Sus scrofa: one gene and its partner. The protein of the gene in region 2 purifies or fractionates together with the protein of the main gene of each other region. This does not show direct contact. Links are inferred from orthologs where the notes say so. Each region holds a gene or a part of one and is shown on either strand. Other genes may lie near its edges.

The links.
Region 1: the proteins of CBX5 (region 2) and MBD1 purify together in Homo sapiens (affinity purification with western blotting; 3 studies listed by BioGRID and IntAct, with this or other methods). This does not show direct contact. The link is inferred for Sus scrofa from reciprocal best matches to the Homo sapiens genes CBX5 and MBD1.

Annotation. Positions count from the first base shown.
Region 1 is NC_010443.5:99,914,453-99,918,567, reverse strand, and holds the start of MBD1 (methyl-CpG-binding domain protein 1), read left to right. Parts: upstream 1-1,246; 5' UTR 1,247-1,399; intron 1,400-2,674; 5' UTR 2,675-2,699; coding exon 2,700-2,809; intron 2,810-4,115. UniProt on the Homo sapiens protein: Transcriptional repressor that binds CpG islands in promoters where the DNA is methylated at position 5 of cytosine within CpG dinucleotides. Binding is abolished by the presence of 7-mG that is produced by DNA damage by methylmethanesulfonate (MMS).
Region 2 is NC_010447.5:19,457,002-19,460,620, reverse strand, and holds part of CBX5 (chromobox protein homolog 5), read left to right. Parts: intron 1-649; coding exon 650-836; intron 837-3,619. UniProt on the Homo sapiens protein: Component of heterochromatin that recognizes and binds histone H3 tails methylated at 'Lys-9' (H3K9me), leading to epigenetic repression. In contrast, it is excluded from chromatin when 'Tyr-41' of histone H3 is phosphorylated (H3Y41ph).

The sequences.
Region 1 (4,115 bases), on a different chromosome or scaffold from region 2:
CAGAAAGGGGAGGGGTTAGGACTGTGAGTTTGCAATGGAGCTGAAAAAACGGAGTCAATGTGGTTCAGCCACAGTACCTTCGCTTTATGTAAGGTGCTGGTCATTCTGATTTTTTTCTTTTTTTGGTCTTTTTGCCCTAGAAAGGGCTGCTCCCGTGACATATGGAGGTTCCCAGGCTAGGGGTCGAATCAGAGCTGTAGCTGCTGGCCTACGCCACAGCCAGAAAAACGCCGGATCCTTAACCTACTGAGCAAGGCCAGGGATCGAACCCACAACCTCATGGTTTCTAGTCAGATTCGTTAACCACTGCGCCATGACGGAAACTCCTGGTCATTCTGATTTTTCATCCTTTGTCTCAAATATATATGTGTATATATACATAAACGGTGTATTCGGGAGTTCCCATGCAGTGGTTAACGAATCCGACTAGGAACCATGAGATTGCAGGTTCGATCCCTGGCCTTGCTTAGTGGGTTAAGGATCCCGCGTAGCTGTGATCTGTGGTGTAGGTTGCAGACGAGGCTCGGATCCCGCATTGCTGTGGCTCTGGCATAGGCCAGCGGCTACAGCTCCGAATCCACCCCTAGCCTAGGAACCTCCATATCCCACAGAAGCGGCCCAAGAAAAATGGCAAAAAGACCAAAAACAAACAAACAAAAAAAAGCCGGTGTCTTCGACTTCTAATAGGCGTAATAGGTCTCGGAGTTTTCTGATAGACTATCTCCTGGTTTATAATTCTCAGCTTGGCTCAAATAAAATTTTCTATTTCTCCTTTAGATCGACTATTGATTATTTTTTCCTTGACAGGAGGAACTTGAGAGCACAAACGCGACAGAGGCAACAGGTGGGAGAAGAGAGCTCCGGCTCAATCCCGGCCTTCTTCTCCGCTCCCTCCCATTACTCCAGTTGGAGGCCGCCAGCAAAACAGACGGCAAGACCAACCCCAGTCTTCCTTGTCCTCTTGGGCTGGGACTGGAGAGAGCAAGCGAAAACGAGTCGTGCAAAGTAGGGCAAAGCAGGTGCGCATGCCTAGCAGGTCTCGAAAGAGGCGGGAGCTGGGGATAGATGCCAATACGCAAGCGCAGCAGGTCCCCTTAAAATAGGCGCGCGCTGCGCTAGGACTCAACACGCAGGCGCAGAGGCATCCCATAGAAGGGCCAGCGCCAGAGGGCATTAGCGCGCAGGCGTCCCGCCAGGGGGGGCGGAGCCCGAGATGTGGGCAGCGGATTTCCGGTTCCTGGAGCAACGAACGGTCGCGGCGGCGACAGCTACCGCTTCGGAGGAAGCGGCTGTGGAGAAGGAAGAAGGGAAGCTGGACGGGGCGGGAGTCAAAACCGGGACCCTCGTCATGGGTCCGCGAACCTAGAGCGGCGGAAGGTACCGGCCGGGAGCCGAGCTGGTGAGACAGTGGTGGGGGTGGAAATGAAGATCGCTCAGGCGGGGAATGGGGAAGAATTGAGGCTCAGAACGCTGATCGAGAGCAATGAAGGGCCCTCAGGCCGATGTGTAGGAGGAATGGCGGCGTCGGAATATTGAAAGGGAGTAATGGGGAGATTTAGGCGGAGGACGGGGAGGAATGGGGCTCAGAAGGCTGACAGGTGGAAGTGTCGGATCTTGGACGAGGACGGAGAGGAAAAGGGGAGGATCCGAACGCTGAGCGGGACATATCGGGGCCTCTCAGGTTAAGGAAAGAGAAATGGGGGTTTAGAACGCTGAAGGGGAGAAAAGAGGGATCTTCAGGCTAATAACGAGGGAAAATGGGGCTTTGGAATGCTGAAAGGGAGGGACGGGGTTCTCCTATAGAGGATGATGAGAGATAGGGGGTCAGAACACTGACAGTTAGGGATGGCATGATCTGGACCAAGAGGAAGAGGGGTGGGGAGTTCAGAATGCTGAAGGGAGAAATCAGGGTTTCTCAGGCTGATGAGAGGAATAGAGGATGAGGACGCTGAAGGGAACTTTTTAGCTTTGGAAGATGGAAATAGGGAGGTTTGGGGGCTTGGGAAGGACTTGAGTCTCAGAACACTGACAAAGGGAAAGTAAGGTGGGGAAGTCTTTCAGTTTGAGGAACAGAAGGAATGAAGGGTTATTCAGGTCAAAAATGTGGAGAATTTGGGGGACTCTCTGGCATAGGACACAGAAGAAATTGAGGCAATAACACCAAGGCAGCAGGATAAGAGGACAGCATAGAGGGAAGGAATGGGAAGGATAAAGGATTGCAAGAGAGAAATTAGTGACTCTTGGGTCAAGGAAGGGAATAAATGGGAGGTCAGGACACCGAGGTAGAGTACTGGGACTTTAGTCTGAGGAGGAGTCCTGTGGGGGCCTCTTGGACTGAGAATGGGAGGAATGAGGTCTCTCAGGCTGAGGATGGGGAGGGATGGGGATTAGGACCCTGAAAGTGAGGAATGCATTGAGGGTAGGGACCCTTGAGTTGAGGATGGGGCTACCAGATCAAGAAGGGGGATGAATGACACAAGCTGCTGGGCCCAGGACAGGAAAGAATGGAGTGGCGATGGGGGTTTTTCTCTTCCTTATATTGTCCAGTTGCTTGTGACAGGTCTTAGGTTTTAAACAAGCATTAATTGATGCCACCACACATTTGTGTGTCCTGGGGCACAGCATGTCCCTTCCTAGAGCCTCAGTTTCTCCCACTGCCCCCTCCATGTTGCAGGCCGCCGTTCCTTCCTGTGGCCCCCATGGCTGAGGACTGGCTGGACTGCCCGGCCCTGGGCCCTGGCTGGAAGCGCCGTGAGGTCTTTCGAAAGTCAGGTGCCACCTGCGGACGCTCAGACACCTATTACCAGAGGTACTGGGTGGGTTGTGGACAGAATCAGGGGTTAGAGCTGAGCCCGATTAGGCAGGGTAAAATCAGGGGGTGTGGTTAAATTTATGGGCAGGATTAAATTATGCATGTACAGTTGATCCTTATTATTTGCAGATTCCATATTTGCAAATTTGTTTACTCATTAAAATTTGTTTGTACCCCCAGAGTCATACTCACTGCTTTCATGGTCATTTGTGGATGTGCACAGAGCAGCAAAAAATAAGTTGCCTGATGCATGTGTTCCCAGCCGAGGTTGAATTAGGCTTTCTTCTTTTCAGCCCTTGTATTGTAAACAAGTATTCTTTTTGAGGTCTACTTAGCGTCTTGTTTTTTTTTTTTTTTTTTTTTTTTGCATTTTTTTTGTGGTTTTTAATGGTTATTTTTGCTGTTTATAGTTGTCCCCAAGTGTAGTGTTGATGTGCTGCCTAGTGTTCTAAGTGTAAGAAATCTGATGTGGTATAGGAGAAAATACATGTTAAATAAGCTTTGTTCAAGAATGAGTTGCAGTGCTGTTGGCAGTGAGTTCAATATTAATGAGTCAAAAAGGCAGTATACCTAGAAAAAGAAGAGGAAGTTTGCCAGTTAGTACATGAGACTGCTCTAGAAAGTGCTAAATTAACATCTATAGTATGTGATGAAGCTAAGGAAAAGGTGGGAGTTCTCTTGTGGATCAGCAGGTTAAGGATCCAGTGTTATCACTAGTGGCTTGGGTCACTGCTGTGGCACAGGTTTGATTTCTGGCCTGGGAACTTCCTCATGCCATGCATGTGGCCAAAAAAGGGGGGGGGAGAAGTGGATAAATGTATTGATCCATGAGATGATGACCAAAGTGTAGTAGATAGTGTTGTGAGGCTGAAAGCAAAGGACATTAATGATCATGTTACCTAGGGTTAGGAAAATGTTAAGCCTGTCTCAGCTAGTTCAGGCTGGCTCACACATTTTACAAGTTGATACATCGTGAAAAGTGTTAAATTTGCAAGGGAGTCAGGTTCTGCAGATCAGAGTCTGGAAGAATTTTAAAAACACCTGTTAAGTGTTATATGGATAAAGGGTTATCTAGAAGGGTAGCTAGCTTTTCAATGCTGATGAGATTAGCTTGTTTTAGAAGGACATTGACAAAGGAACCTATATAACACAGATGACTTCCAAAGCTCCTGGCTTTATGTCATTCAGAGGCCATGCAATTAATTATTTGTAAGAATAATATATTAAGCAGAGTGTCTTTAAACATAAATACACAGTATAAACAAGGTTATATACTGATCAATTGACAAAAATGTGACCAGAG
Region 2 (3,619 bases):
ATAGCTTTATTGAGACATAGTTTATATACCATAAAATTCATTTATTGGAGTTCCCGTTGTAGCTCAGCAGAAATGAATCTGACTAGTATCCATGAGGATGCAGGTTCGATCCCTGGCCTTGTTCAGTGGGTTAAGGAATCGGTGTTGCCGAGAGCTATGGTGTAGGTTGCAAACGTGGCTCAGATCCCGAGCTGCTGTGGCTGTGGTGCAGGCTGGCAACTGCAGCTCCAATTTGACCCCTAGCCTGGGAACCTCCCTGTGCCATGGGTGCAGCCCTAAAAAGCAAAAAAATAAAAAAGAGCTTCTGGAGTTCCCTTTGTGGCCCAGTGATAACAAACCCACCTAGTATCCATGAGGACATGGGTGCCATCCCTGGCCTCAGTGGGTTAAGGATCTGGCGTTGCCCTGATCTGTGGTGTAGGTCACAGACGCAGCTTGGATTCTGCTGTGGCACAGGCCAGCAGCTACAACTCTTGATTTAACCCCCTAGCCTGGGAACCTCCGTATGCCGCAGGTGCAGCCCTATAAAAACAAAAGAAAAAAGAAAAAGAATAGCGCTTCTTTTCTTGCCTACTTGTCTTCTTTAAATAAGGCATTGGATTCCCCCCCCCTTATTTCTTTGCTTTTTTTCTCCATTCTTCTTGCCCAGGGAGCACAATACTTGGGAACCTGAGAAAAATTTGGATTGCCCTGAGCTAATTTCTGAGTTCATGAAAAAGTATAAGAAGATGAAGGAGGGTGAAAATAACAAACCGAGGGAGAAGTCAGAAAGTAACAAGAGGAAATCCAATTTCTCCAACAGTGCTGATGATATCAAATCCAAAAAAAAGAGAGAGGTAAGCTTTATTTTCCTTTTTCCTCAACAACCTATTTCTTCTGCCACTGTGGCTCCCCCTTCCCCCCAAAAAGGGCATTATTTTGGTTGTTTCCCTTCTCTGGATGGCTACAAGGTAAATTGTTGAACAATAGAGCGTCCAGGGAGATATGTTGATTGACTACAGCGCCCCCTCCTGACTGAGTGAGGAACATAATATGAGTCCTCTAAATTGGGGTTAAGGTGGGAAAATGAAATCCTTGGAAAACATCTCATACTCTGCCTTATTCATGAATACAGGCAGAGTTATCTTAGAGTCTTTGGTGAATTTTGTAAGGATAGAAAGGAACTTTAAAATGTCTTACCATTTCACTTTTTTCTTTCGTGCCAAAATTAACACTTATTTTCAACCCTTTATAATTCTCTGTCTTTTAAAATTAAGGTGAAATCCACAGAACATATAGTTTACCATTTTGAAGTGTACAGTTCAGTGGCATGTATATTCCCTTCTGATCCTACTATGTTTTTACATTAAATAAGAAATTAGTTTTCATTTTCCTTTTGGATGTTTTTATTGTTCAGTTTGGAAAGTATGTTTATGAAATTTTGGTTTAATTCAGTTGCTTTGATCCTTCTGATCTTTAGCTCTCAAGTAACTAGCCATAAGCACTATTATTGCCTCTCTTCTTTTTTCATTTATATCTTTTCCATCTGTACACACATATACAGATAACCCACCTCCCCAGCTTCTACTGCTTTCATTTATTTCAAGGCTGTGAAGCCTTTTGTGGTGAAAGATGTATCATACCCTTAAAGTTTAATAAAATAAAAGCATAAGTCTGCTTCTGAATCTTGTAGTGTCACTGCCATAAACATCCCTATTTATCTTCGTTTTCCTTGGATACCCATGTTTCTAGAGCATCAGTTCTGAGCCCTGGCTGCACATTAGAATCACCACAGGAGGTTAGGGGACAATGCTTCAAAAAACTCCACTGCCCAAGATAACACCCCAGACTAATTAAGTTCAAATTTCCGTGGATTGGACATTGTCATCAGTGTTTTATAGAGACTTGCACAAGTGATTCCTGACCTCCAGAGGAGAGAAAATGGGAGACCAGCTTTCCAAAAAGAATGGAAATAAGAGTGAAAGATTGGAGGCTCCCAGTGAAAGTGGATTCTAGGTTTTTGTCTGTCTCCTTATTTGTTTCCATGATTAATTTTATTTTTTACAATCTTATTTTTAAAACTGCCCTGTTCTGATGAGGTGTGTATAACATTTGATATAGTGTACTGATAAATAATTTGAGAATGCCTTCTCTTCTCTAAGGAGCTAAGATTTGATTCTTTCTTTTTTTTTATTAGTCCTTTGTATTTTGGTTTTGTCATTTGATTCATTTTCTAGCTAAGTAAAGAGACTGAAAAACAACACAGCATAAGACCTGTATAGCCATTTGTGACATATAGTTTGTATTTCCTCAACTTACAGTTTCTCTCCTTTTAAAAATGAGCAATCTGACTTTGAGCCACTGGCCAGTGTAGAGAGTTTCATTCCTAGGCCAGGTTCTGATGCTGCTGACCTTGAAAACCACCCCCACATGTCCCTTACATTGTAATGTTCATCTGGGGCCCCTTGACAGCATTCTCAGCAGTGCTGGCGGCTGTCAGGTAGGCAGCTGGGAAGATGGGTGATTGTGTGTTTTAAGGGTGCAGGAGGGGATTGCGTTTCTTTCTTTAGACCACTGCAGAAGAAATTTGTTAGTCGGCATTATGCCTGATTTAAGATTACTGCCTGTGTGATGATTTTAGCATTTTCCTCGCCTCGGCTCCTTTTCAGCATCTCGAACATTTTTCTTTCCTTCCCTCCCTATGTGGCAAACTGTTTTCAGCCGCCAGCTATGATTTACGACTCAGTTCGTGCGCCAGCATTCCAGCTGTGAGCAGCTGTGTGCACATCTGGGAACCTCCTCCTTTTAAGCACCCCCAAAAGAGGCTATGTTTTTAAGTCTGTATGTCCCCTGATCCATGCGTGGAATTTCCTTCCCAATGTTGGATTCTGGTATCTTTGGGGACCACCTGGACGCTGAATGCTTTGTATCTCAGAAGAAAGCAAGGCGAATATCAGAGCAAAGAGATTTTATTATGAAAATCAGATATCAGAGATTTAGTTCAATTGGGCAGTCTTTCTAAATCTTTTTTTGTATTGACACTAAATAAGCTTGCATTATCTTCCATAAAAAGGTTTTTTTTAATTACCTGGTTTGTATAAAATTTCACCATTTTGCTCTCACAAGTGGCAGCACACCTGAATCAGACTCTAATGCTCCTTGTCTGGACTGCGTGATTATCGTTTGACCAAGTCTGAATAATTCCTTACAGAATTATCAGTCTAGTTCTGCTCTCTTTTTTTATTTTTGTTTTTTTCGGGGGGCTTTTTTTGGCTGCAGCAAGCAGCAGCTTAATGTGGGATCTCAATTCCCAGACCAGAGATTGAACCTGGGCTGCAGCAGTGAAAGCGTGCGTCCTAACCACTAGACTACCAGGAAAGTCCCCAGTTCTGCTCTCTAATGCAATTGATCTATCCCCTTCAGGAAGGGATAGACATAGACCAGGGCCTCTTCCCCAAATGTGTGGGTGTTACAGTATGTGAGCTCTGAAAAGAAATTTTCTGTTTTATGATAATGCCTTGAATTATCCTTATCTCTGTTCTTCCATAAGCATAGATGACTCTGGGAAAAGAAGTATTAAAAATATTGGTCAGTGTTAGGTGAACTAAAAGTCTAAAAAAATAAAGATTAAGAGGTTTTA